Caenorhabditis elegans: one gene and its partner. The protein of the gene in region 1 purifies or fractionates together with the protein of each later gene. This does not show direct contact. Each region holds a gene or a part of one and is shown on either strand. Other genes may lie near its edges.

Evidence for each region.
Region 2: the proteins of nhr-184 (region 1) and dcaf-13 fractionate together in Caenorhabditis elegans (co-fractionation; one large-scale study listed by BioGRID). This does not show direct contact.

What each region holds. Positions count from the first base shown.
Region 1 is NC_003283.11:2,205,198-2,221,404, forward strand, and holds nhr-184 (Nuclear Hormone Receptor family), read right to left. Parts: upstream 9,282-16,207; 5' UTR 9,264-9,281; coding exon 9,082-9,263; intron 9,036-9,081; coding exon 8,977-9,035; intron 8,930-8,976; coding exon 8,730-8,929; exon of another isoform or gene 8,616-8,729; coding exon 8,394-8,615; intron 8,342-8,393; coding exon 8,151-8,341; intron 8,106-8,150; coding exon 7,736-8,105; 3' UTR 7,674-7,735; downstream 1-7,673. Other genes in the region: srt-40 (Serpentine Receptor, class T), read right to left, coding at 1-114, 158-431, 558-856, 899-989, 1,029-1,084; Putative galactoside 2-alpha-L-fucosyltransferase svh-11, read left to right, coding at 1,983-2,128, 2,182-2,425, 3,488-3,604, 3,818-3,924, 3,973-4,073, 4,119-4,225, 4,279-4,360, 4,778-4,872 and 1 more; Nuclear hormone receptor family member nhr-133, read right to left, coding at 5,351-5,720, 5,765-5,955, 6,005-6,226, 6,326-6,525, 6,577-6,635, 6,698-6,876; nstp-8 (Nucleotide Sugar TransPorter family), read left to right, coding at 10,527-10,595, 10,661-10,756, 10,802-10,899, 10,943-11,081, 11,684-11,806, 11,857-11,950, 11,993-12,124, 12,590-12,894; nhr-56 (Nuclear Hormone Receptor family), read left to right, coding at 13,938-14,041, 14,115-14,239, 14,869-15,092, 15,140-15,349, 15,409-15,599, 15,651-16,023.
Region 2 is NC_003280.10:4,414,967-4,432,220, reverse strand, and holds dcaf-13 (DDB1- and CUL4-associated factor 13), read left to right. Parts: upstream 1-7,318; 5' UTR 7,319-7,326; coding exon 7,327-7,396; intron 7,397-7,448; coding exon 7,449-7,607; intron 7,608-7,660; coding exon 7,661-8,372; intron 8,373-8,978; coding exon 8,979-9,233; intron 9,234-9,456; coding exon 9,457-9,595; 3' UTR 9,596-9,701; downstream 9,702-17,254. Other genes in the region: toe-1 (HEAT repeat-containing protein 1 homolog), read right to left, coding at 121-416, 826-1,406, 1,970-2,284, 2,744-4,418, 4,474-4,715, 5,220-6,823, 6,869-7,010; bpnt-1 (3'(2'),5'-bisphosphate nucleotidase 1), read right to left, coding at 10,009-10,409, 11,159-11,483, 11,546-11,698, 11,833-11,913; sod-5 (Superoxide dismutase [Cu-Zn]), read right to left, coding at 13,208-13,305, 13,351-13,504, 13,553-13,711, 14,300-14,383, 14,495-14,536; ZK430.5 (separase), read right to left, coding at 15,668-16,020, 16,079-16,255.

The DNA of each region.
Region 1 (16,207 bases):
AGCAGACATGATGAGCCAGCCTGGGACTACTATGACATTCATGATAACGTAGATCAGAGATCCAAACTGGTTGACCGCGCAGATAAAAGTCGACTGGAGGAATACTTGGGTTTTCTGAAATCTCTATATTTTAGTGGGATTTTATGGCTGAACCTACCGCGTTCTGAAGCTGCGGTGAATCGCCATGAATAAGTTTCTTGAACTGATTTGCAATTATAATTCGAAAAGGCGTATAAACGATACATGTCAATGTGACAACCGAAAAGTTGTTAATAGTATGCGGCCGGTTGAAATACTCCAAGTTTCTATCAGGAAAGATGAGCGGTGTGTACATCCAGGCAAAGTATTTGGAGCTGAAGACAACTGGGGTGTTGAACATGAAGAAAATGAAGTAGAGAACTGGGAACATGAGAACTATGTAGGTTTTCTTTCTGAAAATATGTTCTCAAGTATTTTCAGCCAGGTCAGTGATGCTTTTGGTGTCGAGGATCGTGTCGCCCGTATCGCGCGGCCGATGAAGTCCCGCGGTCGCCCGATACTCGTTTCATGTTCCTTACCCGTCAAAAATCATCGCCGCCCATGTTGGCTTTGACATGCCCAGAATACGATTCGCCACGAGCAACAATGCCGACATGCAGGAACTGCACCATAACGCACAGACTATAGTCCCACTGATGTACATTATTCGTGGGTATGTGCAGTACACAGCGCCATTGATTGCAAACCATCCCGTCAAAATGGAGATTATGATTAGTGTGAAGAAATCGGTGACTCCGAGCAAAAACATGATTTTGAAACACGATTTTTCGAAAAGTTCCTTTTCCAGCATGATCAGGAGAATTGGTAGGTAGAGAAGCTAAGATGAAAAATTGTAGCACATTCAGAAAATTAAGCTTACATCAATAACAATGCCATATGCAATAAGGCCTGCTCCAACCATCGGCCACTTTTCCCCATCTAGTTCGCTCCATTCGGAAGCGGAGTGAGCGCTGAAAACGTGGTTTTAAGTATTAGTAAATTAAACTCACCTGCAATTGTACAGAGGAATCTTCTCGATGGAGCCATAGATGATGATGCTGTCCATCTTTGAAATGAAGTTAGCAATGAGGAACAGGTGATATTGCCAAAAAAACTATATAGTTCCGCACGGAAACGTGTCGGTAACTTTATTATGGCGGAAATTCGCAACAAGTTGAGATGTGTTTTGATAAAGCATCATTAGAACCTTAAAAAACAACACTTGTTTTTAGCTTGTTCATGTCTGGTGACGCCCCAGTTTTATGTGAAAACGTGGTTCCTGCTAATTTTGATGACACGCGGGGTAGAAACAGTGAGGTATCCACATTTTCTGAGAAAGTTATTTTTGCCTAGAATTCAAATTTTCTGATAGAATGTTTGACGGTAACTCATGTCTTCTAAGAAAAGAATTGACGGATGTTCAAAGCATTTGAGAAAATTTTTCAAAAGATTGAAATTTTTGAAAAATATTTTGGCGGAAATTCAAATTTTCTGAGAAAAAAATATTGGCGGGAAATACATTAATTTGTTGAGAAAAATTATGACAAGAATTCAAATTTTCTGATAAAATATTTTGGTGGATCCTCAATCTTTTTTTCGAAAAATAATTCAGACGGAAAATTGAATTTCAGGTGGAATTTGTTTTTGGGAAATTTTTTGAAAACATTTCAATAAATTAAAAATAAATAAATTAAATTAAAATATTTTGGCGGATATTTGAACCTTCTAAAACAGTTCTGGCAGACATTCAGTTTTTTTAAGAACAATATTGGCGGGACACTAAATTACTCTCAAATATATGTTCCGGAGTATGACGGGCCCTTTTTTAATCATCTCATCTTTCATCCCAAGCCTTTTGCGTTTCAATTTAGGCATCTTATCCGGTTTGCGGATCAGGAGAATATGAAAGAAAAATATCGCTCTAGCCAAAAAACAATCAAATTCAATTCAAGAACACCTTGAATATGCGATTGTTTCATTTTTTGAAATTTTTGACAATTAATAATTTCAGTAGATACTGCTTGAAAATTGTTAAAGTGCATATTATTTGGATAACAATTATTTGTATTATTTACTTTAATTGGCGATTCAAAAAATTGGATTTTATGGCGTAAGTTGACAATTTTCAACTGTTCCAATAAAAGTTAAAATTTAACTTTCCAGAATTCCATATCCACCAGCTGTTATTAAATTCAACACTTCTGCTAAATATCTATCCAGCAATTTAGCTTCGAGCAGTCAGTTAGGGAACAATATTTTCGAAATTGCAAGCCTCTATGGCTTATCCAAGCATTTGAACAGGACCCCTCTGTTTTTTATAGAAAATGGGTATCATAAGAAAATGTTGGACAATTTGAGAAAAACGATGCCAAGGCTAATGGAGAAGTTCAGAATTCTTAATGGAAGCGTGGGTGTTTCATTTGTTGAAATTTTAGATAGTCATTTTCCTCCAACCAATCAGCGACTCGCCCAGGCCACGTCTAAACCAACCAGATAAAGTGTGTGGAGTTCGACGACACTGATTGGTTGGAAAGTGGGAGGAGCGACTTGTTGATTGGTTTCTCGTTTTTTTAGTTTAAGAAAGGGGTATAGCAAGTTGGATCAGCAGAATAGATTAAAAACAATAGTGTTTCTCTTTTGTGGAATTTTACATTGTTCTGGAAAAAATTGGGGGATTTGCAATTGAGGAGACTATGACTGTAAATGATTTTGTACCGGTAAACCGTGACATTTACTCGACTGAGATCCGAAGTGACTAAAACACGGAGATAGTAAATACGTGCGAAAACTTTCATTTTCCTTGATTCCTTAACCTGTTTAGCGTTAATCGCAAATTTTTATCTTGATCGAGAAATTAGAAGATACAAATTTAAATTTCAGCTTGAAACATGGGTGTTAAAATATTTTTTTCATACTAGGGGAGATCGCATACCTTCTAATGACAAAATGCCATTTATACCAACCCTACAGTAATCCTACAGTACAACTTCAGTATTCCTATAGTTGCACGAAAACATCCCCACACTAACCCCAACCCAAAATCCCTTCCAAAGACAACAACTCGCATTTTCCAAAACTACAGTAACCCTACAGTACACCTACCCACCCAAAACGTCTTACTAGTGTTAATTTCGTATGTAGTTTGCCATAACAAGATGAGAAACCTAGATTGCGCTTTTGAAATATTTTTCGGGCGTCGAATTGCAACGGGAATTCGGGTTTGTCGTTCAAAAATATCGCACTGGTGGTGAAGAACTTTGCAGCCGGACATAGATATTCCGAAGTGGAACTGGGCGGCAGTTGGCTAGATAAAGAGGATTTTCTAATTTTTGTTAAAGGTGACATAAAACCAGAAAATGCAGAAAATTTACAGCTTTTTGATAAGAAAAAAAATTGAAGCGGTAAAAAAAGAGTAATTCTAATTTACAAAATATATACAATAATATGATCTACATAATTTTATTATCAGGTACCCCGCTCAATCAGCGAAACGAAATTTCAAAGGGCATGCTGCTTACATAAGAGTCCGTGGAGTTTGGAAAAAAATCGAGATGAGTATTTGCACCTCTCCGGAAAATATTATCAGGTTTTGTTTTTAGAATTATTTTATTAAATTCAGCAAAAACAATGAAATCAAGACAAAAACTAACTTTTTTTTTGAAATTGATGGTTAAAAATTAATTGTGAGTTAGAGCTTCCATGGGAGGCAGGAGCAGAGCCTGAAGGCAGGTTTGAGACAAGCGACAGGCCCTGATACCGCTCCTGTAGTAAAATTAACTTTTAAGGTTCCATTCTTCAGAGCTGGAAATATTTCCCCAATATGCGAAATGAACTTATCGAGTTCTTAAATCCTACATCGATTCAAATTTTTGGCAATCTGCCAATTTCCGATGATCAAAATCACGTGTAAGAGCAGAATTTTCAATTGAAAAAAATTGTCAAAACTAATTGCAGAACTTGTGTTCATTCTAGAAGAGGCGATTTTGTTGAATACCTCTTCTATGCGTCGGATCCAAAGTTTATGAAAAATGCAGTAACATTTCTGAATGAAAATGGTATGTAACTAGTTTATTTTGCAACTTTTGAGGTTTTTTTTTCAGAAAAAGTAGGAAGTAGAAATCGAAAAATAGTATTATTTGGCGACGATTTGAATTTTTTGGAAACTTATTTTAGTGATGCAGTATTATCTACAGATGTCGGAAAAAATGTAAGTGTTAACAACAGTTCAACCATATGAAAAAATTTATTCCAAAAATTCAGGCAGAATATTATATTTCTCAAAACCCTCCAATCGACGATTTTCTCTATTCAAAAAATAATTGTGATGTGGTACTGATCACAGGTGATTCGGGGAAAAGGGCGATTTCGGTTTTAGAACTTTGAAAATTTTTCGAGGGGTAGGATTTTACGGCGACCTACAATTTCCGAGTTTAGCCACTCATTAAAAAATTTTATGGGCCAAACTCGGAAGTTGTCGGCCGCCGTGAAAACCGTCCCCTTGGAAAATTTTTCAGAGTTCTAAAACCGTTCGACCGGACGCCAAATATGCCAGCCCTAGTTGAAAGATTAAAAAAACTTAAATGCTGGCTGAAAATTGCTCCTTGTCGAACATTTTTCAACGGGGATTTTTACGGCGACTTCCATACTTTTTTTGCATTTTTTTTTTACTTTCCAATAAAAAATAAGCTATTTTCAGATTGAACAGGTACTGTTATACATTCCCATATCAAATTTTCATTCAGAAACACCAAAATTCCAGCTCCCCGCTCAACATTCGGCTGGTGGATTGGGTATTTTTCGAAAGGAAACAAAGTTTACTATCTGGATATTAAATACACTGGGGATCATATTTTTGTAACTGGATTATTGATTTTCTTTAAAATAAAAAATTTTTGCAGGAATCTGGAGGTCTTATTGCAAGTGACTTCTACCCATCACACTGGACGCCTCTGAAATTTGCAAGCGCTAATAGTTTTACAGTTGTGAGGAGCTGACATTAATGTGTTTTTTTGTAAATTTACCAGTTTAGTATTAGCTTCATAAATATTTGATTTTAAGAAAACCTTATATTATTTATTCAGCACTGACTCAAATTCTTTTTTTAAACTATCATCCGTACATCTACAGCGACCGAAACATGGAAAATGAGGATTTTGCAAAATCGGGAGGACACTTTCAATTTCCATGATTTTTGAAGGCCTTTTCAGGTTTAATCTCTATTTTTAATCTCATTCGAGAAATTAGAAGATAAAAATTTCAATCCGCGCTTTTCGGGTAAGAAAGGAATCGGGATATCCTTTAAATTATTGAAAACTTTATTGAAAAAACCGTATCAAGAAAATTCAAACATTTCCGGATGGGAGTACTCAACAAAAAACAAATCGAACACTTTAGCAATATGATTCTTCTCTTTCCGATCCCTCACGTCTGCTTCAATAGCTCTATTGATCTTCATCAGCCTCGCAAGTCTTCCAGAATAGTTGACTAGCTTCAGCTTCTTGGTATAATACTCGTGCATATTATCCGATTGAATTTGCAGTATTTTCTCAGTGGCTTCTAGCACGTGGCCCTGATATTTCTGCCCAGCACTGTTCAGGCACAACTGAATGAGCATGAAGTTGAGCTCAACGTTTGTGGGGTCCAGTTCTACCAGGTCCGAAAGAGCATGTCGCCAGTATTTTTCGATATCGGGGACTAGAAATCTGAAAATTAAATTTAAAATTAAAAAATCCAAAGCCGCCATAACCCTCTCAACTGCTCCACAGAATAGTTCGAACTCCATTTTATATCGATTTTAACATTTCCAGGATTCATGCAAGTATTGTCTGTCCACATGTATACATCATTTCCCAGCAATTTTTGTCTATGAAAATCCGCAGTTGCTGCTAGCTTGTCCAGTCGAGCCCAAATCATCCAGGAAGTTTTGAGAATATCTATCTAGAAAAATTCAAGTAAATATGTAGAGCATCTGATAAAAAAGCATTACCTTAATTTGCGGGTCTAGCATCGAAAATTCTGGAAGCCTGGCAAACCATTGAGCAGCTCCCAAAAATGATTGCTCCAAAAATAGCAACGCCTCATTTCGTCCAATAGTTGTCGCAATCTCCAGTTTTTTGCTCGACTCTTTTAATTTGATTTCTTCCATCTCGAAGGTTAGCTTTTCCAGTGAGTTAGGGTAATGATTAGGACTCCATGAATATGCAGCATCCTGGAAAGACTTGATGAGTAATAGTTAAAAATTTTGCGTGAAATCTGATGTAAGTTTCAGGAATACACCATATTTTAGGCGCAAATATATCTCCATTACCTCTTGAAAAATCGCCCAAGCTTTATCGACAAGACTTGTCACATCCACCAGACGTTTCGTGGAGCTGGCTTTGTCCGGCTCACAGCACAAAATGAATTCGGGCCGGCCGAGAAAATTTGCCAAACTTTGAGGTGCGCTGGTTTTCGTGTAGTTCGTTGGACGGAGGGAAGACGAAATGAGGTCCCGGTCGTTTTGAAATTCTGTAAATGACATGAAATTAATTTCATTCTATTCGTTTAAAAAATACCCACTGCTCGAGTTCATCCCAACTTCACAACACTTTTTCAACCGACAGATTTTACAGCGATATCTGAAATTTTTTACAATTTTAATTTTTCAAGTTTTCAGCTTCTACACAAAAAAAACACTTACAAATCATTTCCAATGCAATTTCCCTTTCTGCAAACTCTATCCTGATATTTTGCATTTTGAAGTGCGGCTCTTCGGAAAAATGCGGCACACGCTCGGCAACTGAGCACACCGAAATGATTGCCGTGAGCCGGTTGCTCGCAGATCTCGCATGGCCCGGAAAGGTAGAGGGCAGGTGGCATTTTTAGTTATACATAAAACACGTGAAAGAACGATGATCAATGGTAGTGTAGAACCGATAAAACGTGCCGAGAGACGCAGACTGTTGAAGGAAAGGAAAATAAATAGACTGCGGTTTTAGGGTGTAGGGAATATCAAAAGATCAACAAATAAAAATAGAGTGCCGTTATATAATAGTCCAATAAGTACAAATTCCATAAAAACACAAAACCTGTTAGGTTTTTCAAAATTTTCAGTCAAAAAATCTCAAAAAAGTTGGGCAAGTTTTAAAATTTTTTTTGGTCATTTTAAAACGCATGGGTGGTTTTTTTTTAAATTTATCCCTGACAATACTTGAAAGAAAAAGTTAGAAAAACATTTTAAATGCTAAATTATAGCAGCGAACTTCCAAAGTTCAGTGAGAGTTTTTTAGTTTTCTCAATGGAAAACAGCAGTTCTAGAAATAACAAAATTTGATATCTTAAAGGCGGAGTAGCGTCAGTCGTGATTTTGCCTAAATATACTTATTATGATCCAAAATGACCAAATATTATAATAAAACACTCGAAAAAATTTTAGATTTTTCATAATTTCCGGTCAAAGTTTTGTCCAGTTGCCAAAATTTTTGACTGAGTAATTGTCACTTTTTGACAGCAAATAAACAATTTTCAAAAAAAAATCTTTGAATGGTTTTATTATGATATTCGGCCACTTTGGCACCATCGGAGTAGTTTTTAACACTTTCCCCCACTGGCGCTACTCCACCTTTAAAAGTGATGATTGAATAAAAATTTAATTTTTCATTCAAAATTCGATTTTTTTTAAATCAAGGATACATTCATTAGTAAGTTGTTTAACAAAAATTTTATTGTCAATTATTAATCAAGTGCCCTCAAACATTTCCGGATGCGAATAAACAATTGAAAACAGGTCAAAAACTTCGACAATCTTCGCTTTTTCCTTTCTCTCCCTCACATCTTCCTCGACAATTTGGTTGATTTTCATCAGTTTTGTCAATCGTCCAGAGTATGATGGCATGTTCAACTTTTTGGTATAATAATTATGCAAATTATCTGCATTGATTTGCAAGAGCTTATCAGTTGCCTCTAGGACACGTCCTTGAAATTTCTTGCCAGCATCGTTAAGGCAGAGTTGAATGAGCATGAAGTTGAGCTCCATATCTGTTGGGTTGAGCTTCACGAGGTCTTCCACTGGCTGTCTCCAATGCTTATCAATATTTGGCATTAGGAATCTGTAAAATTTTCTCTTAAGAAAATTTAAAAAACCTGAAACTTACGCTTGCATTTGCTCTGCACCGTAATTGGTACACCAGCTCCAGTCAACATTGATATCCTGCACATTCAGACAAGTGTTTTCTGAGCACATAAAAATGTTTGCACCCATTTCTTTAATTCTTTGATTTTGTGCTGTTTCAGCTAGCTTGTTCAGTCGAATCCAAAGCATCCACGTGGATTTTAGTATTTCCAGCTGGAAAATTACAGACTTTGTTGGCTCGAAATTTAAATACCGAATACCATACCTTAACACGAAGATCCAGACTTGTAAAATCTGGAAGTCTTGCGTACCAGTTCGCGGTCGCCAAGAACATTTGCTCGAAAAAGACAAGCGATTCAGCTTTCCCAATATTCCGCACAATTTTTACTTTATGATTTGAGCTTCTTAACCGCAAGTCTTCCATTTCCAATGTGAGCTTTTCCAGGCTATTGCTGTATTTGTAGGGCATTGGTGAGTTGGCTAGGTCCTTAAAATTGCACAATAGCGAGCAACCGACAAATTACAGGACGGCAAAATTTGATGCGAAAAAAACATCAATTGGCCCGTGAAGTGTCGGCTTGTGCCAAAAAATAACCTTTACCTCCTGGAAAATTTCTGCAGCTTTGTGAACCAAATCCGTCACATCTATCACTGTCTTGAAAGGAGAAGCCTTTTCGGGCTCGAAACTTATTATGAATTCGGGCCGCCCGAGAAAGTTTGCCAAACTTTGTGGAGCATAAACTTTCGTGCGTTTAAGGTATGCATTGGAGCTTGAAATAAGGTCACGGTCCTTTTGAAATTCTGAACATTTAGATATTAAAATTTTTTAAAAATTCTTTTTAACCCACTACTTGCGTCCATTCCGACTTTGTAGCACTTTTTCAGTCGGCAAATTTTACAGCGATATCTAGAAAATTTGAAGTTTTTTTTTTCAATTTCCAGCAAACACATACGCTCCAGCATCAAAAATCCGGCAATCCCCATATTCACAGGCTTTATCTTGAAACCGAGGACTTCGAGAAGCTCTTCTGAAAAATGCGGCGCAAGCTCGGCAACTGAGCACACCGAAATGGTTTCCGTGAGCTGGTAGATCACAAATTTTACACGGTCCTGAGATGAGAAGGGCTGCTGGCATTTTGTCGTCTGAATTGCTAAAGATTTGTTCAATTTTTTTTTGAGAAAAATATTGGCGGGAAAATCAAATTTTCTCAAAAAAAATATGGCGGGAAAATCAAATTTTCTTGAAAAATACTTGGCGGGAAATTCAAAATTTCTAAAAAAGAATATGGGCGGGAAATTCAAAATTCCTCAGTAAACAATTAAGCTGGAAATTCAAATTTTTGTTAAAAAATAATTGGCGGTAAATCAAAATTTTCTCAAAAAACTATTTTTGGGAGAAATTAAATTCAAAATATTTTTGCGGGAAATTTAAATTTTCTACAAAAATATATAATGGTAATCAATAAAAAAAATTAAATAAAAAGTCCAATACATATCAGTTGACAGAAAACTAAATACATACTAGACATATAAAATGGAAACCAATGATCGGAGACGCAGACTGCTAAAGCAAGGCCTGGTGGGGTTTGAAGCAACATCAGCGTCAATAGAAAAAGTTGCCAAGAGTGACGAAACTACGAAAATGCTTACATAATGTGAATGAATAATTTAAGACAAGGAACAAATCTCCCCATTTTTTAAAAATTCAGTCTAGGCCAGGCTTGTTTGATGTTTGAAAAATCACACCAAAAAATGCGAATTTTTTTCCGATTAAAAAAATTTTTGACGGGATCTTGAAAATCTGGAGTTTTTATAATAAAAAAATGAGTAGTAATGACCGAATATAAATGTAAAAAAATGTATTAAAAGTTATTGAAATTTTGGAGATTTTTTTTGTTGGAAAAATCAGTGTATTTTTTTAGAAATTTTGAACCGCCTTAAAAAATTCTTCAAAAATTTCTAAGAAGTTTCATTACAAAATTCGTTCATTTGAGCACATTTTGGGCCTATACGCTCAAAATCGTCAGAACCGTTAGTCCTCCTTCAAATTAAAAAAAGGAAAAAAATTGAAGAACATTTTTGAAAATTTGGAAAATTGAGGTATTATACTCAAGATTTTTTTAGAAAAATTTTGAAATTTTAAATAATTAGAGTTAAACCGGATAAAAACATGTCTAACAAAAAACGAAGCGACAAATAAAAAAAAGGAAAATTTCACTAGACTTTTGAGAGGAAAATCTGATTTTTTCTGCGATACCAGGCGCAGCCTACATATTATTATCGCACGATCTTGAATCCTGAAAAGCCAATATATTTCCTATTGATTCGATTTGTTGCTTATTCTTTAAATACATTTGCTGTATTTGTAACTCTCTGAAAATTTAATTTTCAGTGCAAAATGAGTGATGTGAAACATCAAATTTTGGATCTAGAGATTGATAAGAAAGTCAAATCGAGTTCTAGTTCGGTACGCCAATTTTTTTAAAATTTCATTTTTTAATTCATGATAGCTTGGAAATTAGTTAATTTTAGATCATTCAAGGGTTATGCTCAATTCAACTTTTATCTATGATCGCAGTTACCGCACACCACACAGCCATGCCATTTTTTGTACAAATGGCTAATACGGTAAGGATCTTAATTTTCAATTGCCAAGAAAAAATCACTATTCAGAGCCATTTCCTTCCGACAACTTCGGTTTTTATGATGGAAGTTTTGAAGTTATTATTTTGCCTGATAATTGTTTTATTTAAAACAAAAAGTTTTGAGAAGTAAGATTCTGGGGAAAAAAGTAATGTTCCAACACACTTACAGAACTGGCAAAAAGCTATACGAACACATTTGGAAAAATCGAGTGGAAACCTTGAAAGTGTCGGTTCCAGCAGTGGTATATGCTATTCAGAACAATTTATACTACATTGCACTCGCGAATATTGATGCGACAACTTATTCGGTAATTTTTGCCCAAAATGAAATTAAGAAAATATGGGATCAATATACCAAATTCAAACTGTAAAAAATTTTTTAGAAATTTTTAAATTTAGTATGATTTTTTTTTGAATTCTTCATACAAATCACCTAAATTTTGGCATTTTTACAAAATGTTTAATTTTTCTTGGCAATTTTTATTGGGTTTTCATAGTTTTCATTAGTTTATTTAATTTTGGCACTGTTTGTCTTTTTTTTTAAATTATGTTTTTGAAAAGAAAATTTGGTAATCTCTAAGAAAAACGCTGAAACATTGAAATTGATCCAATTTCTTTGTAGAAAAATGTCCGAAAATGTGACAAATAATAATTCAAATTATGATATACAAACAAAACCGAGAAAATAAAATTTTAATCCTAATTATGCCAAAATGCCAAAATCTTAGTTGACTTACGCGAAAACTCAAAAATGATTCAGCACTTATAAGTTTATATTCTAAGTTGATATTTAAAAAGACATATTAACCGGACATTTTAGTGATTTTATTTTTTCTGAAATTCCTGGAAATTAGATTACATGAGAAAATTCACGAAAAAGTTACATACGTGGTATTTTTTAAATTTTCAGGTAACTGTCCAATTACGCATATTGACCACCGCCCTTTTATCCGTCATTATATTAAACCAAAAGCTCTCCAATTATCAATGGCTGGCTCAGGGTATGGCTCTCATCGGTGTGGTTCTTGTGCAGGTATGCTCCTCCTGGAGTTATCGACTCTAAATTAATGCCTCCAATTTCAGATTGACAATTCTAACCCCCATGGGAAAGTATTCGGAAATTTCTGGCTAGGGATAACGGCTGTGTTTGGTATGTGCTGGACAAGTGGCTTTGCTGGTTGGTTACTGTACTTTGGACCTAAAATGAAGTAACTTTAAGGTGTCTACTTTGAAAAAATGCTGAAAGAATCGTCAGCTGACGTGTGGGTTCAGAATATCCGGCTTTCAACTTTAACACTGCTTTTTGCTGGGATCACAATGCTCTCTACAGACGGAGAAGCCGTTCTTACAGGTAAGAAGGCTTTAAGGAGCTCCTGCTAAAGGTGGAGTAGCGCCAGCGGGAAAATTTTTTGTAAACCACTCCTATTGTGCCAAAATGATCGAATAAAAAAATTTTTTGAACATTTTTTATTTACAGTGAAAAAGTGTCAATTACTAAGTTTTTGCCACTCATAATTTTGTAAGTCGACCAAAAAAATTGTTTTTTCTACATTTTTTATACTTTAATTTTTATTCAATTATTTGTATTAAAACATTGAAGGGATCGGAACATGCGACATTGTTCTGGATTTCCTGAAAAGCCGATAATTTTTAAAATTATGGCAATTTGTCAAACCTTTGACCAAAAATTATGAAAAATCTGAAATTTTTCAGAGTGTTTTATTATAATATTTAGTTGTTTTGGAATATTATAAGTGTATTTACACAAAATCCCTACTGGCGCTACTCCACCTTCAATAAATTTTTGAAATTTCAGGAAAAATGTTCTTTGGCTGGAATTGGATAGTGTGGTTTGTTACAATTGGTAATTCAATCGTAGGTCTTTGCATTTCGTTGGTAATGAAGTACGCCGATAATGTGATGAAGACGTATTGCCAATCGCTTGCAATAGGCCTCACAGCAATTGTGTCCATATTCCTTGGTGACCGAACTCTTAGTATAGATCTCATTTACGGAGTTCTACTTGTCACATCTTCTATTGTGGTATACTCACGGTTCCCGGCTACTACATCTACAAAATATGAGCCACTGGAACAGGACAGCGACGCAGAAAAAAATTAAGAAAATTTATCGTTACTATATATTTGTTTGTACTATTGGTTTTCCACGGAATAAATACAATTTAATCAAACCAACTGTGTTACCGGGCGATAGCGTTCTTGAAGATTGTTCCGCTTGATTCAATATTCGTGTCTATCCTACCAAGAAGCCCGGCGGACATTCAACATCAAATGCGACGCTATTTGATGGATCTAGATGGAATAGTGGCGTTTTGATGAACTTTAGAGATAATGAAAAAACCGTTCCCATTTTCAAGATGTGCATTTTTATCGCAAAATTCACAACTTAAAGGTGGAGCAGCACCAGTGTAAATTTTGTCTGAAAACACTTATAATGAACAAAAAAACCGAATATCATAATAAAACACTCCAAAACTTTTCTGATTTTTCAAAATTTTCTGTCAAAGTTTTGGCACATTGGCAAAATTTGAAAAATATTAGCGTTTGAGAAAATCCAAACGAATGTCGCATGTACTGACCCCTACAATGTTTTAATACAAATTATTCAAAAAAAAAAAAAAATGTAGGAGAAATTTTTTTTGACCGACTTCCAAAATTACGAGTGGCAAAAACTGAGTAAGTGTTACTTTTTGACTGTTAAAAAATTCCAAAAAAAAATAAAAAATATTAAAAAAAATTTTGAAAAAAGTTCCATTATGATGTTCAGGCATTTTGGTCCACCAAATGTGGATTTTTGCAGACTTTCAATGTTTTTTTGACTCCCAGATCCGCAGTGCATAGCGCTTGAAGAACGGATCGTTCTTTAATTTTTTTTAATTTTAGGGAATCAAAAAATTTGTTTAAGATTATTCGAAAGAAATATTCAAAAAATTTGAAATTCTGTTAATTTTTAATATATTATTTCCATATTTCGCAATACAACTTTGCCCCGATTATATAGACACACTATGTCAATAACCGCAGTCTACCCCTCATACCACTGCCCGATTTTATTCTATTTGCACTTTTGAACTTTTCTTTCACATCCTGCGTGTCTTACATTTCGGCAATCATGTGTTGATCATACACTTATTAAATTCTCAAATGCAAGTCTCAAAACGTAAAAGTCTCTGTAAAATTTGTGGTAACCCGGCGTTTGGCAATCATTTTGGAGTGCTCAGCTGCAGAGCATGTGCTGCATTTTTCAGGTAAGAACAAGGGAGGTTTCTTAAACAAAAAAATTTTTTTTTTTAAATAAAACTGAACACTTGCAATTTCCAGAAGAACAAATGTAGATGGAGAAACATTTTGTCCAATTGGCAATTGTAAAATCGATAAACACGGGAAATTCTACTGCAAAAAATGTCGATTGAGAATTTGTCTGGAAGCTGGTATGGATGCGAACAGTGAGTTTTTGAAAATCAACTTAAAACTTCAATTTAAAAAGATTCCTACATTTTTCATATTTTTAGTCATGTGGTACAGTGCCAATTTTTCCAAATATATGGACTTTTTGAAAAATTTCTAGCACAAAAATTGTATTAAAAATAATAAAATTTAAGTTTAAAGAAAAAAATTGGCAGACTTTTAAAATTATGACGGAGTTTTCATTGAATTTTCGTTTCACAATAAAAAAATGCAAATTTCCAATGGTAGAGCAAAATTTGTACGAAGAAAAATTTTTAAAAAATTAAGAGAATCACGTGGTGTCAGGCTGTCCCATTGCGGTTTGATCTACAAAAAAAACCCGGGAATTTTTGTCCGAAAAAGTGTGACGTCAGCACGTTCTTAACCATGCAAAAACAGATGATAACTCTGCGTCTCAACTTCCGCATTTTTTAGTGGACCTACGTAGATCAAACTGAAATGGGACATTCTGACACCACGTGGGAAATCTGATTTGAACAATTGATCAAAAATTGTTGGCGCTTGAAAAATTCAAAAAAAAAAACGGAATTTTTTTTAAATATGTTTTTCTTTTTTCTCGTATTTTAAGAATAAAAAAATTTCAAGAAAAACATTTTGTTTTTTCCAGAATTTCAACACGACCGCGACCTAATCTCCACTTCCACATCGGAAAGCTCCGACTCATCGGGATCTTTTTCATTTTCCCAAAGGAGCAAGGTACCCAAAAGCATGGCAAATTTCCTGGGCCGGCCCGCATTTATTTTAAGCTGTGAGCCTGATAAAGCGAGCAAGGTGAAGACAATAGTTGATGTCACGTTTTTGATAAATCAAGCTTTTGACATTTTTGGTAATGTGAGTTAAAAAATAGTTTTAACTAGAAAAAAACAATATAATTTTAGGTTGACAGAAAACGATTTTCATCAAATAGCAATTTGGGAAGAATGACAAAAAAATTTGAGGATTTGCAAAATGAAAAATCTTCAAATTTGAGCACAATCAAGGTGTTGGGCTTGAAAGAATCTATGATCTTCTGGGAGCAAGATTTTCTGCGAACTGCTAGGTGGCTGAGCCATTTCGATGAGTTTCAGGAGCTCCCGTTGAGCATCAGGGTCAGTGAAAATAGTGCAAGCCTACCAGTCGTCGGCTGCTTAAAGTAATCATTTTCCAGATGCAAATCTTAAAGGTGGCATGGATCCTTTGGGGAAGACTGGACAAACTTGTGAAAACTGCAAATGAGCGGAAAAATCAACAGCTTAATCAAAATTTCTATATGATTGGCAAGGATGTGGGAATAGATATTGGAAACTTCGAAGTAGATGTTTCCTGGTGCACGAATTATAGCAAGGAGCAACTGGCCTAGTGAGTTTGTGCACAAAAATTTTTACAAAAATTTTCTTAATTCATTTCCAGCTACCTCGACTGCCACCACGACGAACCATTCAACATAATCGTCGACGCAATCTCCGACCTGAAGCCCAGTGACATGGAATTGAACTTTATGCTCCTGGAGCTCTGCCTGGCACATGCTGGAAAGCAGCATCAGGGGGATGTCTTGATGTTCACTGATCGGCTTCTAGAAGTTGTATCCAATGAGCTTCACGACTATTATCAATCGGAACAAATATCTAACTACTCATCTAGAATCACAAAAATGATGAAAATCAACAATTTGATTAGGAGAAACTTGTTCGAACGGCTGGAACGACAGGCGGTGGCGAAAGTTTTCAATATAATTTCTGTACATTTTTCACATCCTGATATGTTTTGTAATGCTGGGTTTTAATTTTTTGCACTTAACACATTCACAAAGTATGATCTGAAATTGCATAATTTAACTTTAATATTTATGAAGATCTCTACCAATTTGCAGTTTTTGATGTTTTAAAATCCTTAATAGTTGTGTAAAATAACACATAATTGATATATTTGGAATTGGAAAGCGCAAACCAAGATTTTGTCGGCTGCAA
Region 2 (17,254 bases), on another chromosome or scaffold:
TTAACTTTCTAAACTTTTTTTTTGATTTATCGATTTCTCCTGAAAAAAAAGAAAAAAATTACGATGAATCTCTTGGTATGAATGAATTATTGTAATTTTTACAAAATTTCCGAAACAAACCTTCAATAAGCTCATTAAGGAACGGAAGAAGAATCGAAAGATGCGGTTGTACTCCATCTCCGATCTCCTTGATCAACAACTCGAGAACAATGAGAGCACGATAACGGATCTTTGCTCTCGAATCTCTTGTCTTGAGCATTATCTTATTCAGAAGCTCTGGGAAGCTGTCCGGATCAGCATTTCCGATACGGTAGATGGCTGGAACCAGGTGATCGGAACAACGTTTCTCATGGCCTTCAACCTTCGTGTTAACCAATTCATTGACTATCACATCCGACACCAATTGACAACGATCACTGCAAAATTGATAAAAATTACAGATGATTTGAGATTTGAGGTCTAGAAAATCCTATATTTTTCAAAAAAGTCCAGTCAAAGTTGTGAAGAATTTCCAAATTCTTGGAAAATAGGGAATTTTTGAGTATGATATCATTGAAATAATTTTTTGAATCGATTTTTAAAATTTTGATAGTTGAAAACTGAGGTATATTAAAAATTTAGAAGTTTTCTTTTTTAATAGATTTTGAAATAAATAAATAATACCTTAAATAATACAATTTCAATAATGTATTTTTCGGTTTTTTTCGGCCAAAAAAGTTTTTTAAAAAGGCTATTTTTTAGCCGGGTAGAGGAGAAAAACTTGATTTTATCTTCTTTTTTTTTGTCGAATTTTTTTTTCGGTGAGCTGCTCCAACTTCAACTCACACAGTGAAAAAGTCTCTGTGCCTAGCAGCATTCGAAATGACATCAATCGCAAGTGTCAGTGCCAGATCCGTCTCTAATGCCTCAATTGATCCTCGTTTTCCACTCAACAACAGCTCATCTGTTCCGAGCAGCAGCGTCGCATTGCATTTCTTCAGGACGAGCGCAGAAATTTCCAAAATTCGACCGAAATATGGAAGAGCCAACGAGTTGAACGAAGTGTAGAGATCATTGGCAAAGTGGAGAAGTGAAACGAGTCGAAGTCTGGCTGCCAAATCAGCCTTCGCTTCGAGACCCGGCTCAGCCCAAGCGACGAGCTCATTGACGACTGTACGGAATTCCACTTCACTGAGAATACTGGCAATGGAGATAACGAAATTGAAGACAGTGTGCTCGAGCTTTTCAACATTCTCAAATTGATCCGATTGACGTTCTTGACTTCTGACAATCAATGTTGGAGTGATGACATCACTGACGAAGGTTCTTCTGAGCTGAATTACTGATTTACGGAGGATTTCCGGCTTCTGTTGATGTTGAGTTTCGATGTATCCAGTGAGCAAGTTGAATAGAGCACTGAGAGCCTTCTGTAAATTTAGAGCAAATTTATATTTTGAAAATTTCTGGCAAATCAACAAATTGCCGGAATTTAAATTTCCGGCAAATCAGCAAATTGCCGGGATTGAAAACTTCTGGCAAATCGGCACAATGCCGGAATTTAAATTTTCGGCAAATTGCCGGAACTTTAAATTTCCAGCAAATCGAAAATTTGGCGGAATTTAAATTTCCGGCAAATCGACAAATTGCCGGATTTGAAATTTCTGGCAAATAGGCGATTTACCGAATTTGCCGGAAAAAAGGCAACTGCCGAAAATTTCCGGCGAATTGCCAGAATTGAAAACTTCCGGAAAATTCTTGTTGATTTGCCGAAAAACGACAACAGCCAGAATTTTTTCTTTCGCGTTTTTATTATACTCAAAATGACACCAAAAAAACTGATTTTTTTTGTAACTAAAAAATTTGATTTTTCAGAAATTTCTCAAATAATTTTATTTTCGAAATTTGGCAAGAAATTTGGCACTTTTTTAGTCAATTTTTCGGCTTTTTAGTCAATTTTCGGCGGGGAATTCAAATTTTTGTAAACTGATACCTTTTCAGTCTTCAACTCTCCAACCGTCTTCACAATATGAGCAGGAAGCACGCGAAGTTCGATAGAAAGCAATGAACGACGAATCAACGATAGACGATGATGGATTCCAGTTTTACTTCCAAATCCACTAGTCTGTGATCCTCCTTGGAATGCTGCTGTTGTGCTAGAAGATGGTTGATTGAGAGCCAGGAGCTCCGATGGATCTCCGAATCGAGCAATAAGCCGACAATATCGAATGATGACGTCACCAGTCGATTCAACGACGAATGAGGCGAATTGATCGTAGACTCGTTGGATGCATGTTAGGGAGCAGATCTGGAAAATTGAAGATTGAAAAAAATTGAGTTAAAAGGGCAGAATCTACAAATTTCAGGCGAAATTTATCAATTGTCTGGAAGAAAATCTAAAAAATTGAAGTTAAAATTGTTAATTTTCTGTGAAAATCATCAAATTTTCGAGTTTAAATGACGTTTTTCGCCTCAAATTGTAGATTTATTACACAATTTGACAAAAATCGTCATTTAAATCTGAAAATTATTTATTTTTTCCAAAAAATTCAGTTTCAGCTTTAAAGCTTTAACTCTTAGCTTTAAAAATTGGGATTTTTTTCCAGAAAAAGTGGCAGTTTTAACCGAAAAATTCAAATTTCGCCAATTTTGACTGAAAAATTTCCAAATTTCAGGCAAAACTCGAAAAAATGCTCCAGAAAAATGACACTTTAAGCCAAATTTCAGGTTTTTCGAGCTATTTTTAGTGTAACAAACTCTGCCGTACCAATAAGGTATCACTTCCAAACTTGTTTCCTCCCAGTGATTGTTGTCTGATTCGGTGACCTCGATTTCCACGTCCACCTGCCACCGATGATCCTGGAGATGCTGCAGAATCATACTGAGGCTTCGAGAATCTGGCGATACACTCCTGAACAGTTGCTAGACACGTCTTCAAAAGACTTGTCGCATGATGAATCGTAGATCTCATATTATGCGAACGAATGAGCTCTCCGGCAAGAAGAAGCACATTTCCAGTCAAATTCTCGTCGAGCTTCTGATATTGGCTCACAATGCTCACACACCGTTGCATTGTATCTGCGAGAACTAGCGATTCCGATTGTGACGGAAGATTCTTCGCGATCAACTTCAACGTATACGCAGAATTCTGGCACATTCTCATCTTCTCCTCACTCTTCGTCTCGGCAACGATAAACTTGTTGAGAGCCTGAGCCAACGTGATAAGCTCCTTCTCGTTGATTCCACTATCGGCGAATAGGTAACGATCGTGTCCGAGCTTGATGTTCGCGAGTTGCAGGACTTTCTCGCACATCTTATACGACATCTTCTTGTCATTAACACACTCTTGAAGAACATCAGCGATGAGACGAGCGGCTACACCTCCTGGAAGCAAGTGTCTCAGCTTCTCACTGACCACCTCGGTTCTTGACGCGAATGCAACCCAATATCTTTGAGCTTGTGGATCTGATCCATCTTGATCATTGGCTTCCTTGTTCGCAAACTCATCCAGCTCAACGGAGCACTCGATAAGCCTCTTTCCAAGTGGTAATGCATTCTTCAGAAGCTCCTCGTCATCATACGCAGCTAATCTTTCAATCAATACTCGATTTGAGAAGATTCTCGAGATAAGAGTGACCACTACATATCGGAAATGTCGAATTCTCGGCAAAGTCTGAGCTGTTCGATCGAAGATCATCGTGTCCAGATCCTTCTTGGTGGTGGTGGACTTCGCTGGCTTATCACCTCCAAGACGACGCACATATTCACACATCTCGAGGACACTTGAAAGCTGCTCGAATGGATTGAGAGCACTGAGAAGTTCAATTGCTAAATCATCATAAGCATCTTGATCCGATCCTCGCTTCATTGCTTCCTGAGCAGCTGCATCTGAAGATCTCTGCCAGCGAGCACAGAAACTGGACACCAACACCAGCACAACAGTCGATGCATTCTCTGCTTGAACAGCTCTAGCGATGGCTTGTGCGATTCTTGCTCGACGATGTGCTGGGATATCTATAGCACTCGCGGCGAAGAGCCGAGCCAACTCGATGAGCTTCTCGGTTTGCTGTTGCTTGGTGAGCACCGCTTGTCCAGAACTATTAATGATCGTTGAGAACAGCGATTCGACAGTCTTTTCGACGATTGAAAGTGTCAATTCATTGTCTTTTCGAAGCATTCCATTTCCCATGAACGTGAATACAGACATCACGTGCTTCACCACTGAATTGGGGGTGTGCTTGGCAGCGGCCACAATCAAACGGAGACAATCTCGAAGGAGGTGATGATTGTGAGTGGATCGCATCGTTTCGATAACACAATCCATGTCGACTTCCGACGCTCCGATCTTTGTCTTTTCAGGATGTTCAAGGATCTTTCGAATGGCATTCACAGCGAGATGCTGCTGGTATGACGAGCTTTCCACGTCGGATTTGGAGTTCACTCTGAAATTATTTTAATTTTATTGTTTAAATTCAATTTCTAATAAATAAAACTCACTGCTTAACAACTGCAAAGAGAGCAGCAAGAACCTTTTCACTCGACGGAATAATTTGACGAGCATTCAGAAGATCCAACACAAATACGACACGTTGATTGAACGCTTCCCATGATTCTTCGGTTCCAAACGTTTTTTCGACGAGATTCTTCTTCTGAGCACCCTTGGTTCGTTTTGGAGCAATTTCCGAGACTCCATCGAATTTGGTGAGCAGGTCAGCGACGAATTGGGGGTTGAGGTTGGCCTGAAATAGAAAAATTGAAAATCAGATTAATTGGGTGAAGATTTTGTGTTAGTTTGCTTAATTATACTAAAATTAACAGGAAACAATCAAATTTCGTACTGAGACCTCTCAAAAAATGTCAATTTTCGAAAAAAAGAGCTAAATTTTGCTAAAATCTGAAATTTCGCACAGTTTTTATCGAACTGTCTCCTAAATTTGTTGATTTTGCCAAATTTTAGGCAGATTGGCACCCAATTTTGGTAATTTCGGAGCTTATCTACTTATAATATGCCTAAATATATAACGAATTACGGCGAGAAAAAAAATGACCAAAATATGCAATTAATGTGGGATAAATCGATAAAAACTGTGCTCCAGCTTCTACGACACGGAAAATTTGGGGAAATTTCAAATTTTAGTTCAAAAATTGGTTTTTTTTTTCGAAATTTTGATTTGCCATTCAAATTTTCAAGCTGGAAATTCGGACTTTTTAGGGCTGATATAGTGAAATTCGACAAAAATTACCCCAGCCAACGCAGCCTTAACACTGCCTCCATCAATCTGTTTGACTCCTCCAACACCGACAACCTTCACAATCTCCAACACAAATTGCTCGACGTCATCTTCCACCTTACGACTGAAATATTTCTCTCCTCGTTGAGCCATCTCATTCAGAGCCCATTCGACTTTGTCCCATTTCTCTCCGTTCAACCATTCGGTCGCCTTATTGATCGGGTCACCGGAGAAAACTTCTCGTTTCGCGAATTCTGAACTTTGAGCCAGCTTTTGAGCTTTTTCTGAAGCGGTGAGCTTGATTTTCTTGGAAGATGGAGCTTCCTCGGAAATAATTTCAATAGATTCCTCAGATTGAGTGGCAGCGACAGCTTCACTGGCGAATTGCACAATATCTTCAATTTGGTATTCTTTGAGCACATTTTTCAAGGTTTTCTTGTCCTTAGCCTTCAATTCGGCGTGAATCGCATCAAATTGCTTCGCAAATCGCATTCCAATAGCTCGAATATTCGATTTCAGCTTCTTCTTATTATCGAAAATATTTCCGTCCATTCCTTCCTGAAGGATCAGCTTCAAGATTGTTCCAGCTTGATCTCCAGTCAAAATCGAAGCATCTTCAATAGTTTCTATAAGAACATCAATCGCCAAGGTATTATCTTCAGATTCTGCATCTTTTGACAACACAATAAGTTCTTTCCACAGAACATTGAAGAACTTTGTCGTATCTGTACGCTCTGAGAGTTCCTTCAGAATCTTCCAGACATCAATGCCTTCCTCGTGGCGGAGCAGCTTCTTCAGCGTATTCTTCGACAAACTCTGCACGTTTTGCTGCTGGAAAACAACCATCAGAGTCGAAAGTGAAGCTGCTGCGGTGTCCGATCGCATTTTTGTGATCAGCAGCTTGCACATTGAGTTCAAAACCTCATCCTTGAGCTTCACCGTCAACACCAGCTGGGAGATGACAACCATTGCAGAGTAACGGAAAGATTTCATTGGGCTTTTAATTCCATTTTCGATGAACGGCATCAACTTGGCAAGCATCATTTCGTCGACTTTTTCTGGATCCGTGAACATGCTCAACAACAATTTCGCGTGAAAATTGAAGAGAATAGGATGTTTAATTTCCAAATAGTCACTTCCAACAATCTCAACAGCATGTCTGATGTGATCCGTGATACAGGTAATAATCGAATGCTTGCTTGACAACGTGGCTCTTGCGATTGAAGTGAATGGGATTGGTGTCTCCGTCTTCGTGAATTGCTGCATAAATTGCCATTCTTTCGATCTTTTCCAGTCAAAATCCAGAATACGGAGAAGTCTGGAGTAGACTTTGGTCTCGTGGAATGGGAGAAAAGTGAGAAGAAGCGTCTCGGCGTTGAAAGAGTAGATTTGATAAGTGTGGATCAGGAATTCAAGAACTTGTTGGCAAGCGAAATGTTGTAGATACGGAGAAAGTTCCAGAAGAAGCTTTTCGATTTGTTTGTTGAGCTCTTCATTGGCGCCTTTTTCGAGCATTGACCTGACAAAGTCTACACGCTCTTCAGAGAATAGATCGTTGGCGAATTCTGTATCAAAAACTGGGTCGATTCTCTTCATTTGCTCGAGTCCCGCAACTCCTGAAATAATAAAGAATAAATAAATTAAATTCTCGAAGCTCTTACCAATTCTGTGAGCGGTCTCATTTGATAGTTTATTGGCTTCTTTTCTATCGAACAATAAAGAAACATGGCGCTTCTCAACCGTCAAGTGACGAGCGGCCGATGTTCTCAAATTTTCCAACTGGCTTGTCAACGACGTCGCCATTCTTATGATACCCGGGGTTTGGAGAAATAACAGACAACAATTCTGAAAAATGGTAATTTTATTTAATTTTTGAAACAAAAAAAAAACTGTTCAAAGAAAGAAAATTGCGCTTAAAAATGCGAAAATTACAAAAAAATAATTAGAATAAAAAATAAATTTTCGAGTTTAGGGCGCGGTACGTGAACACCGCACGCAAGTTTGCGGACCGCACACCACACTTTACGACACTTAAATTTTTTCTTTTTTATTGTTTTTATATAAGAAAAGCTTTTCGTAATTTTCCTCGAAATTTAAGTGATTTTTTTCAGGTAACAAAATGAAAATCAAGGTGATTTCTCGAAATCCAAACACTTATCAAAGAGAAACCACGGACAAAAGGAACAAAAGTAAGATTTTCCTAGTATTTTATAATTTCATATATTAATTCAATGTTTCCAGTCGTTCGAAACTTCAACACACCAGCGGACCCATTCAGATCTCAAGTTGAATACACACGTGCTCTAAATGCCACGAAATTGGAGCGAGTTTTCGCTAAACCATTCGTTGCGAGTCTTGACGGCCATGTCGACGGAGTTCAAGTTCTTGCAAAGCATCCGAGTAATTGATTTTTCTTGAAAATCTCTAGAAAAAAATATTTTTCAATTTTCCAGATCGCCCATCCACAGTTTTCTCCGGCGCCCGAGATGGTCAAGTAAAAATCTGGAATTTGGCTTCCAGAGAGTGTCAAGCAACTTTAGACGCACATCGAGGACTTGTTAATGATATTTCAATTGATAATAATAATGGAGAAAACTTTGTAACTGTTGGACAGGACAATCAACTCAAATATTGGAAGATCGAAGGACAACAGAAAACGCCGGCCCATTCAATTGCAATGGATGGAATTGTGTATGGAGTCTCTCATCTCTCATTCTCCTCGGATTTTGTCACTTGTGGAGAAGATATTAGTGTTTGGAAGCCGTATCGTGAGACACCACTACGCAGTTATAATCTCGGCACTGACACAATTCACACATGCCGAGCGAATCCAGTCGAAGAGAACGTGATCGTTGGCGCCCGCTCAGATCGTTCGATTTACGTGCTCGACACGCGACAAGACGTTCCACTGAAGAAGGTGACGATGAAAATGCGTCCGAATAAGATCTCGTGGAATCCGATGGAGGCCTATAACTTCACGGTGGCTAGCGAGGACTATAGCCTGTACACATTTGATATGAGATATATGGAACATCCTGTTCAATCTCATCAGGGATTCACGTCTGCTGTGCTTGATGTCGACTATTCGCCGACTGGTCAAGAATTTGTGGCTGCTGGATATGATAGATCTATTAGATTGTTTAAGGCTAGAGATATGACTAGCAGGTGAATATTAATTGCTGAAAATATTGTAGATCGGCAATCTAGAACAGGGATAGCGGCATGTGCCGCTCGGCAAATTTTTTGTCATTTTCGGCAAATTGCCGATTTGCCGGAAATATTCAATTTTGGAAATTCACCAGATTTCTGATTTTTCGGAAATTTTAATTTTCGGCAAATTGCCGATTTGCCTGAAATTCTTAATTCCACCAATTTGCCGGATTACCGATTTGCCGGAAATTTTGATTTGTGGGAAGTTGCCGATTTGCCGGAAATATTCAATTTCGGAAATTCGTCGGATTTCTGATTTGCCGGAAATTTTGATTTGTGGCAAGTTGCCGATTTGCCAGATTTCTGATCTGCCAGAAATTCACCAGATTTCTGATTTCTCGGAAATTTTGAATTGTGGCAAGTTGCCGATTTTGCCGGAATTTCCAAAAAAAAAAGTGCAATTCCACCAATTTGCCAGTTTGCCGATTTGCCGGAATAGTCAATTCCGGCAATTTGGTGATTTGCTGGAAAAATCGTTTGCCGCCCACCCCTAATCTAGCACTCCAAAATTTTAAAATATAAACTTCAAAATTAGAATTAATTCGAATTCTACAATTTCAGAGACGTCTACTACACAAAACGAATGGCCTCAGTCCTCTCCGTACTCTGGTCTGCTGATTCGAAATTCGTTCTATCTGGAAGTAACGAAATGAATATTCGTGTCTGGAAAGCGAATGCCGCGGAGAAGCTTGGACCACTCACAAAACGAGAGAAACAAGCTTTCGCTTATAATGAAAAACTTCGAGATACCTATAAGAACCATCCAGAAGTACGAAGAATCGCAAAGCATCGCAATGTGCCAAGACATATTTTCACGTGGGTTTTTTGCAGAAAAAATTCAGAATTTTTGGCCAATTACACTGAAAAATAGTGCCAAAATGAAGAAAATCACTTGATTTCTCTGAAAATAGCATTTATGCTGCTGAAAATAATATTATTTTCAGAGAAATCAAGTGATTTTCTGTATTTTCTCACTAATGTTCGTTTTGGAAAAACAACATTTTGTGGAAATTCCAAAGCAAAACTAAACAATTTTCAGAGCCGCCAAGGAGCACAAGCTTATCAGAGACGCCCGCGGACGACGAGATTTCCGACGAGCAAAAGCCGCTGGACTCGACGAGGAGGAATCATATCTGCCACAGACTCAGAAGATTATGGTTGGAGATGCCGAAATGTGAAGCAGCAGCGTCGTTTTTTCTTTTGTTATTTGTTGTTGTTTTCAAGTTTATCACACTTTTTTTTTTTGGTTGTTCTCCTATTTTTCCCAAAAAAAATCCTTGTTTTTAAATACCGCTAAATCAAAAAAAAATTATTTAGAGAAATTCGAAAAACAAAAAAATTAACCGAAGAATCGAAAAATTTTCGATTTTATTTCAAAAAAAAAAATCTCGATTTTTCGGCCATTTTTTCATTTTTTTTTTCGAAGAAAATAATTATGTTTTTTTATCGATTTTCCGTAAAATCGAAAATTTAAAAAAAAATTTGATAATTCATAATTTCATTTACAACACTAAAAAAAGAAAGAAAAATATTTAGACATGAAAGAAAATGATATTAAAAAGGAAAAAAATTAAATTTGGAATGCTTCAGATCACTTTTTCGATGAAATCTCCGGCAACATATTCTTGATTTCTTGTGGAATCGTATCGATATAATCCTTATGCTTGACCCATGAAGCCGTCGCCAGTACTCCTCCCGTATTATTAAGCTGCACACCGGGCTCATATCGAATATCACGGCCCGAAATGTCCGTAAGAGTTCCTCCAGCAGCAGTCAACACGGCTTCAACTGCACACGTGTCCCATTTCTTACAACCAGCACTTGCAAAGACATACGCTGCACACCCTTCCAGAACTTTGAGCACCTTGAATCCGGCTCCACCGACTTTTTCAACGCTATCCGCCAAATTTCGAGTTTTCAGAGCTTCGAGGGCGTTGGAGACAGATTCGCTGAGATGGCTTCGAGTTGTCACCACGATTTTTTGAGCATTTCCTGGAAAATATAATTTATTGAAAAATTGTAAAAAGCAGCGAAAAAATCGGGGGTACTCTAGTTTTAAAGGTTCATGACTGATTGATTAAACATTTTTGAAATTTTTTGCACAATTTTATTTTATTCGAAAATTGTTTTTTTTTTGCGATTTTTTCCCAAAAATTACGGTCTCGAGCGGAATTTTTTTTACTCGCGATTCCAGTGTTTTTCGTAATTTTTTCTTTAAAAAAAACTAAAACACCTGGGTACTGTAGCTGAAAAGTGGTAATTTTTGGTGACAAATACGGAAAATGGTTTTTTTTATTTGATAAATGTTTTCGGTATTATTAAAAGCTACATTTTACGAGTTTTGCGCGAAAAAATACGGTACCTGGTCTCGAAACTACAAATTTTTGTAAACGCAAAAAGGTATGCGACTTTAAGGAGTACTGTAGGTTCAAACTTCTGTTTTGTATCAATTTTTCGAAATTTTTCATAGTTTTTAGTATAATTTGTTAAAATTTAATGTGTTCTTATAGTTAAATTTTGAGGTTTTTAAATGAATAAATATAATTTTGCCGAAAAACTATGAAAAATCAATTTTTTTGAAAATTTGGAATTACAGTACTTGGTCGTTTCAAGACCAGAAAGAAGAATATTTTCCTCTTGCTAGGACCAGGACCAGGCAGTAATTTTGAGTACGAAATCGCACTTTTTCGCGAAAATTTTCATTTTTAATATATTTTTTTAAAATTTTAATCAATAATTACCAGTAGCCGGAACAACTCCATGAACTCCACAACCTTGAATCGCCCAAACCGTCCTTCCAAGCTTCTCATGATATGGTTGATGAATAATTCCAGCCACCGGTCGTCCCTTATACGCGATTCCAATCAACACAGTGACCTGCTCCAACAATGCCATATTCTTATTCTTAACTGCCAACGCGACTTCTGATGTTCCATCCAACGGATCCACCCAGACTACAACATCATTTTCCTGGATATTCTTGAGCTCCGTGCTCATCAGGCGTTCCATTTGGAGCACGTCCGCACTGAATCCCATTTCGATTTCCGGGCAAGCAGTTGTGTCTTCCTGAAAAAAAATTAAATTTTATGCTTTTCTAAATTAATTTTTGAGAGCTTCTAATTTTTTACCTCTTCGCCGATAATATTAATATTCTTGAAATGCTTCTGCAGAGACTGAACTATGCAGTATTGAGCCCGACGATCTGCTTCCGTTTGTGGATCGTAGCCGGATCCGTGCTCCGATTTATCGATGATTTTGAGATCTCCGCCGGCCATGACATTCTGAAAGACGAAACAATTTTTTTCCATTTTTAAACTTAAATTATTGATTTTTTTAAGCTTTTCGGCCTGACGAGAGGTCTTTTTTAACAGTTTTTCGAGTAGATTCTATATTTTAAAATTTAAAAAAAACTCACTTTAATAAGACCCCCGGCAGCCTCTGAAACTCGGACAGACGAGGCGACGAGTCTCGTGAGAAAACTCGCTTTGTTGAACATTTCAACTGGTGCCGAAATCATTCCATCCGTTTTTCGATCTTCTCGTTTTCTCTGCAATCGTCATTTTTTGTTCTATCTGATTTTTATTTTTTCAACGTGGAGTTCAACACGCGGGGATCGCAAAAGAGAGATAAAAAAGATAAAAAACGAAGAGGTAAAAAATTTTCTCGTTAACGAGAAATTTAATTTGATCGGTGATTGCGTAGAATGTGCGTAATCTGACGACATTTATATTTTATATTAAAAAAGCATGGCGTCCACGTGAAAATGATTTAAAAATGGATTTTCTCAAGAGAAAAATCGATTTAACGATCAAAAGATGGCCTGTAAAAAGGGAAGATAAAGAAGGTAGACGAGGAGAGAGTGCAGACACCGCGGAGACGCAGAGTAAATCTCTAGAGGAAATCTTTTGCCGGTTAAGACTGACAATTAGGAATCCCTCTTCTGATATTTATATATATGCAGTGAAAAGCGTGGGAAGTTATATAATTGCTTTGCTTATCACTGATAACTGATCGAAAATCACATTATTTTTTTCTAAATATTTTATTTTACAAAATTACGATAGCCAAAAATAGTTAATTTTCCGCTTTTAATGGCTTCCAAAGTTTATTTAAACATGAAAAATACGTTTTAAATTAATGTAAAACACGTAAACGACTAACGCGGCCGTGTGTCGATTTACGCAGCTTGTGTACTCCCCGTGGAGAAGTAATACTGTAGTTTTCGGGTAGAATTCTCATTTTCTGATCATTTATGCTGATTTTTTTTTGCAATTTACATTAAAATTGTTAATTCACTTCTTATTCGAAGTTGAATTGGTGAAAATTGATGTATTTACGGTTGAAAATAGAAAAATTCTCGTTTTTTAAAGTTTTATACAAAAAAAAATTTAATTTTCCTTTTATAAACTCGTGATAAATAGGAAATTCGAATCAAAATACGAGAAAAAATCCAAAAAAAAAAGAAAAATCAAGTATTTTATGCGAAAACTGTATAATCCTTTGCAACAAAAAACACTCTTCTCCACGAGGAGTACACAACCTGGCCGTGGCCGAACTTTTCAAAAGTATTCTTCCATTTTCAAATATCAGGCATTTGAATTTTATATTATTGAGTTTAAGACGTATTTCTGAACATGAAATCGCTGGTCCTGCCGAAAAAAAAATTCAAAGCTAAATAAAACGTTTATTTACAAGCAGCGAAAGTCTATGTACATTAGTAGGATTTGTGTTTCTCATGGAAAATGTCAAAAATCTTATAAATTAGAAAAAAAGAGTCCAGTCAATAAGATTTATGCAGGAGCGGCAAGAGCAATGACTCCACAAGCAGCGCGAGCGCCAGCGTTTCCAGTCTTCAAAGACTCCTCGGCCTTGTCGTCGATTCCCTGGCCTGAAATGTTTTGATATTTATCAGAACCTTCTGTCGAAAGCTTACCAAGATCATCTCGATCGACGTGGACAACCATGGAACGTCCGATAACAGTGTTCGCTCCGAAGAGGCTGACCACCTTATCGGAGAACTTGATCTTCGCAACTCCATCGGCGCCAGCTTCAACGTTTCCAAGGTCACCAACGTGGCGGACCACGGACTGAAAATAGTCATTTAGAGATAACAAATAGCCTGTGAAATCACTTACATCTCTTCCTCCATGATTCATTTTGCATGGATTGAAGTGTGGCCCAGCAGACGTACATCCATCGGTTGAGTCTCCATATTGATGGATATGGAATCCATGAAGTCCTGGTGACAATCCCTTGATCTCTCCTTCGAATTCGGTCTCTTCACCTTCGGCTTTCTGAAACGGTCTAGAGTAATAAATAGGGATTTGATTTTTCCCAATTTATTTTAATGGTGGAATGACTCCGGTGTGGAAATTTCCTATTAAACACATTGTAAGAAAATTTAAATTTTATATTTTAATGGAAAATGTCAGTTTTCGCCTAGTGCCATTCCAAAATTTCTCGCCTTTTGAAGTTGAAGTGCAACCGCGCTCCGACGCGAAATAATATAATAATATAATAATATGGGTCTCGTTAGGTATTGGGCAGTTTTTTCGTGGCTTTTAGGTTTTTACAATATTCATTTTAAAAAAAATTTGGCCTGAAAATAATTAAAAATGCAATTGAACAACTACTGAAAGTTTGGAGCAAAAATAAATAAAAAAGTTTGATTTTACAGTTCTGTCGCCAATACCTAACGAGACCAATTGGCAGTGGAGCGCAATTGTACTTCCATTTCAAATGGTGTGATTTTTGCGTTTTATATGATAGGCGAAAATTGACATATTTCTACAGAATATAATTTTTGGGGAAAACTCTCTGATCTCATTGGCGATGCTTTATCTTTAAAAATACCAAAAAAAAATCTTTCAACCAGTTCTCACCTGGGTAAGCCAAACAGTTCCGAAGACAGCAGTTCCACGGAGAACCGCTACAGCACGTTTCGACTCTACTTTGGAAACAACGTCCTGTAAAGTGAGTTAATTTAAAGTTTTCATATTATAATTGTCTTATTTTCGAATATTAATTTTTTATATGATACATCCACTTAAAATGTCCCAAAATATAAACGCATTTACCTGTGGAAGAACGGCATTGGCAATATCAGAGAGAATATCCATTTTCCTTTTAGTAAAATTTTCGTTAGCACAATATTCACAATACGACAGCGAATGTGAAGCGAACTGATGGAAAAAAGGGGAGGAATGTTCTAGTACAATAAGAGCTCAACGACCAACAACAACAACAAACAAAACGAAGAGATCATAGATTAGAGGACAAAACAACATATGGGAAAGGGGACAGAGATGAAGTAAACATGGATGGTAATATATTTAGTATGAGGATACTAGAAATGGATAGGATTTCTAGAAGCTTCTTTCTGATATTAAAAGTTGATTGACCAAAAAACTTCAAAAACTATGAAGTGGTTAGACATTTCTTTGAAACGCTCGAAATATTTTGAGAATTTGATGAATATGACACAAAACTTTATATTTCAAATTTTTTGAAATTTTCAATTGAAAAAATTTTGGAAATTTTACAATTGTATAATTAATACAATAAATACATGTGTTATAGTCTAATATATTACCTAATTATTAAAAATATTTTTTATTCACCAAGAGACGGTGTATTTAAGTATTTTCAATTACTTCACGTTATTTTTTTGTGAAGAAAATCATGTTTGAAATCTTCAAATTTTATAATGATTTAAAAAAGCGGAGTATCGAAATCTCTGGAATATTTTGAAAAAAACTCCAAATTTGCCCCAGGAATCCATCTTCTCGGAACTCGAGTACTCATCTTATTCAAATGCTGTTGAAAAGTTTCGCGTGCGCGAGATAAAATGCAGGCAAGGTCTAATCCACGACAAGGCAGATGCTATCCTTCCGCCATTATTTACAGCGCAAAAACTCACAGATGTGTTGCAGCAGCGTGAAAGATGTTTCCGATTTAACAAACTTTCACCAAATTAGCCCAACTTTACCCACTCCTCAACCAAGTTTAGCCACTTTTGTAAATGGAAGTTGAAAAGATGATAAGGTTGGTTGAAAAGCGGCGCCGAATTGCCGAGAGACCAGTTCACCAGGTGAGTTGGAAAGAAATTTTGTGAAAGTTTTGTGATCGTATTTTCTCGATAATAACAAAACATAGTACCGTACATTTTTATTGTTTCAAATATAACTTGACAATAACTACTATTTCAAAACTTTCGAATAAAAACATGGGTTCAAGTAGTTGTGAATCATTTAACTTTTCTGAACAACGTGGAAAGCTTTGATCAATCTAGAACTCGGTCGAGTAGTTCTAGGTTTCTTCGCTCCATGTTCTTTGCAGAAATTAGGAATGGTTGAAACAAGCAGTTTTCTTTTTCTTGTTCTTTTCAAATTGTCTTTTTCCTCTTCATTTTGAGAGGCTGTAGGATGCGGAGGTGCCTTCTGAACTTTGCTCCGTGTCTCTGTTATGGCTTTTCTGGGAACCTCTTGATTCATAGTTTCAGAACGCAAGGTAAGAATTTGATTTGAAGCTAGAGATTTCTGCTTCGGAGTCTTGGACACAGTTTCCTTTTGAATTTTCGTTGTTTCCTTCAACTTAATTGGTTCTGAAAAAATCGGTTTTCGTTGTCTTGTTAGTTTTTTTTGGTTTTTTTGCCTCCTCACCTTGACTCAGTGAAGCCTTTGAAGTGATATTATTATAATTTGATGCAAGGATAAGATTCGAAGAATTCGGCTCAGTTTCTCTTATCTTCGGTTTTTTTGAATAAGAAATCATTCTGCCTGTAGTTATAGGTAAGTTTTCCTTGCCGTTATTCCCGATTGAAGTGTGTTTTGCGACAACTGGAAATCCATATATCACGACGGAAGCCGCGGTCAAATAATTCAGGACGACCTTTTCCCTCGCCGTCTTCATCGCTTCTGATAAGTGCCGAATTTGATTGTTTCCAGAAATTGACTTGGTTTTCACAAAGCAATCATCAATCAATTCCATAAAGTAGCAATCAATTTCTTTATCAGTTACAGGGTGGGCCAAAAGTATGGTAACACATGAAGCGCTCTTTTACATGAGCTTTTCGCGCGACTGCCACGTCATACGTACATTCTTCGATCGAATACTGATCGCTGAATAAATTTCCTTCAATTTGACCTAAAATTTGCAATGTTTCCCAATAAGGTGCGATTTTAATCACCTCGGCAATTTAGCGAACCCTTTCGAAAAAACGGTGTTTTGGCACGCGGCACTTCCCACACAAACACACCTCCCACGCACGCCAATAATTTTCAGATGTATGATTTTTATGTTAAATTCAAAGTTAAAGAAGTGAAGAAGCGCTTTTGATTGTTTTTGTAGCCTATAAAAATTTTCTGTGTCGGCACTGGCGCCTAGCAATAACCTTTGAATATTTCATGAATTCAACTTTGCGAAATTTACTCAGTTTTTTTGGTTTCGAAAGGCGTAACGTCCCACAAAATCATCCGAGCTAAATTTTTTATAAAAAATCTGAAAAGTCAGGTCAAAACGTGCCAAAAAGTACAAAAATGAATTTTTCTTCATACTGCTGCCGCCGCTCACATCCATCTTTCTGGCGACTGTGTCATTCAAGACTTCAGCTACTGCCATAGTCCATGACAGAAATACCACGATAGAATTTTTTTGGATTTTTGTTTTTAAAGAATCTCCAGACCAAGAGCATTCTTTGAACTATAAAAACTTGTAAGACACTTGATGGATTTCTTGAGAAAAAAGTAGAAATCCCGCAGAATGCCAACTTGCGTGCCATAAAGATCGTGATCTCAAAAGTTCTGAAGGCCTGCAGCGATGTGGATGGGGATATTTTG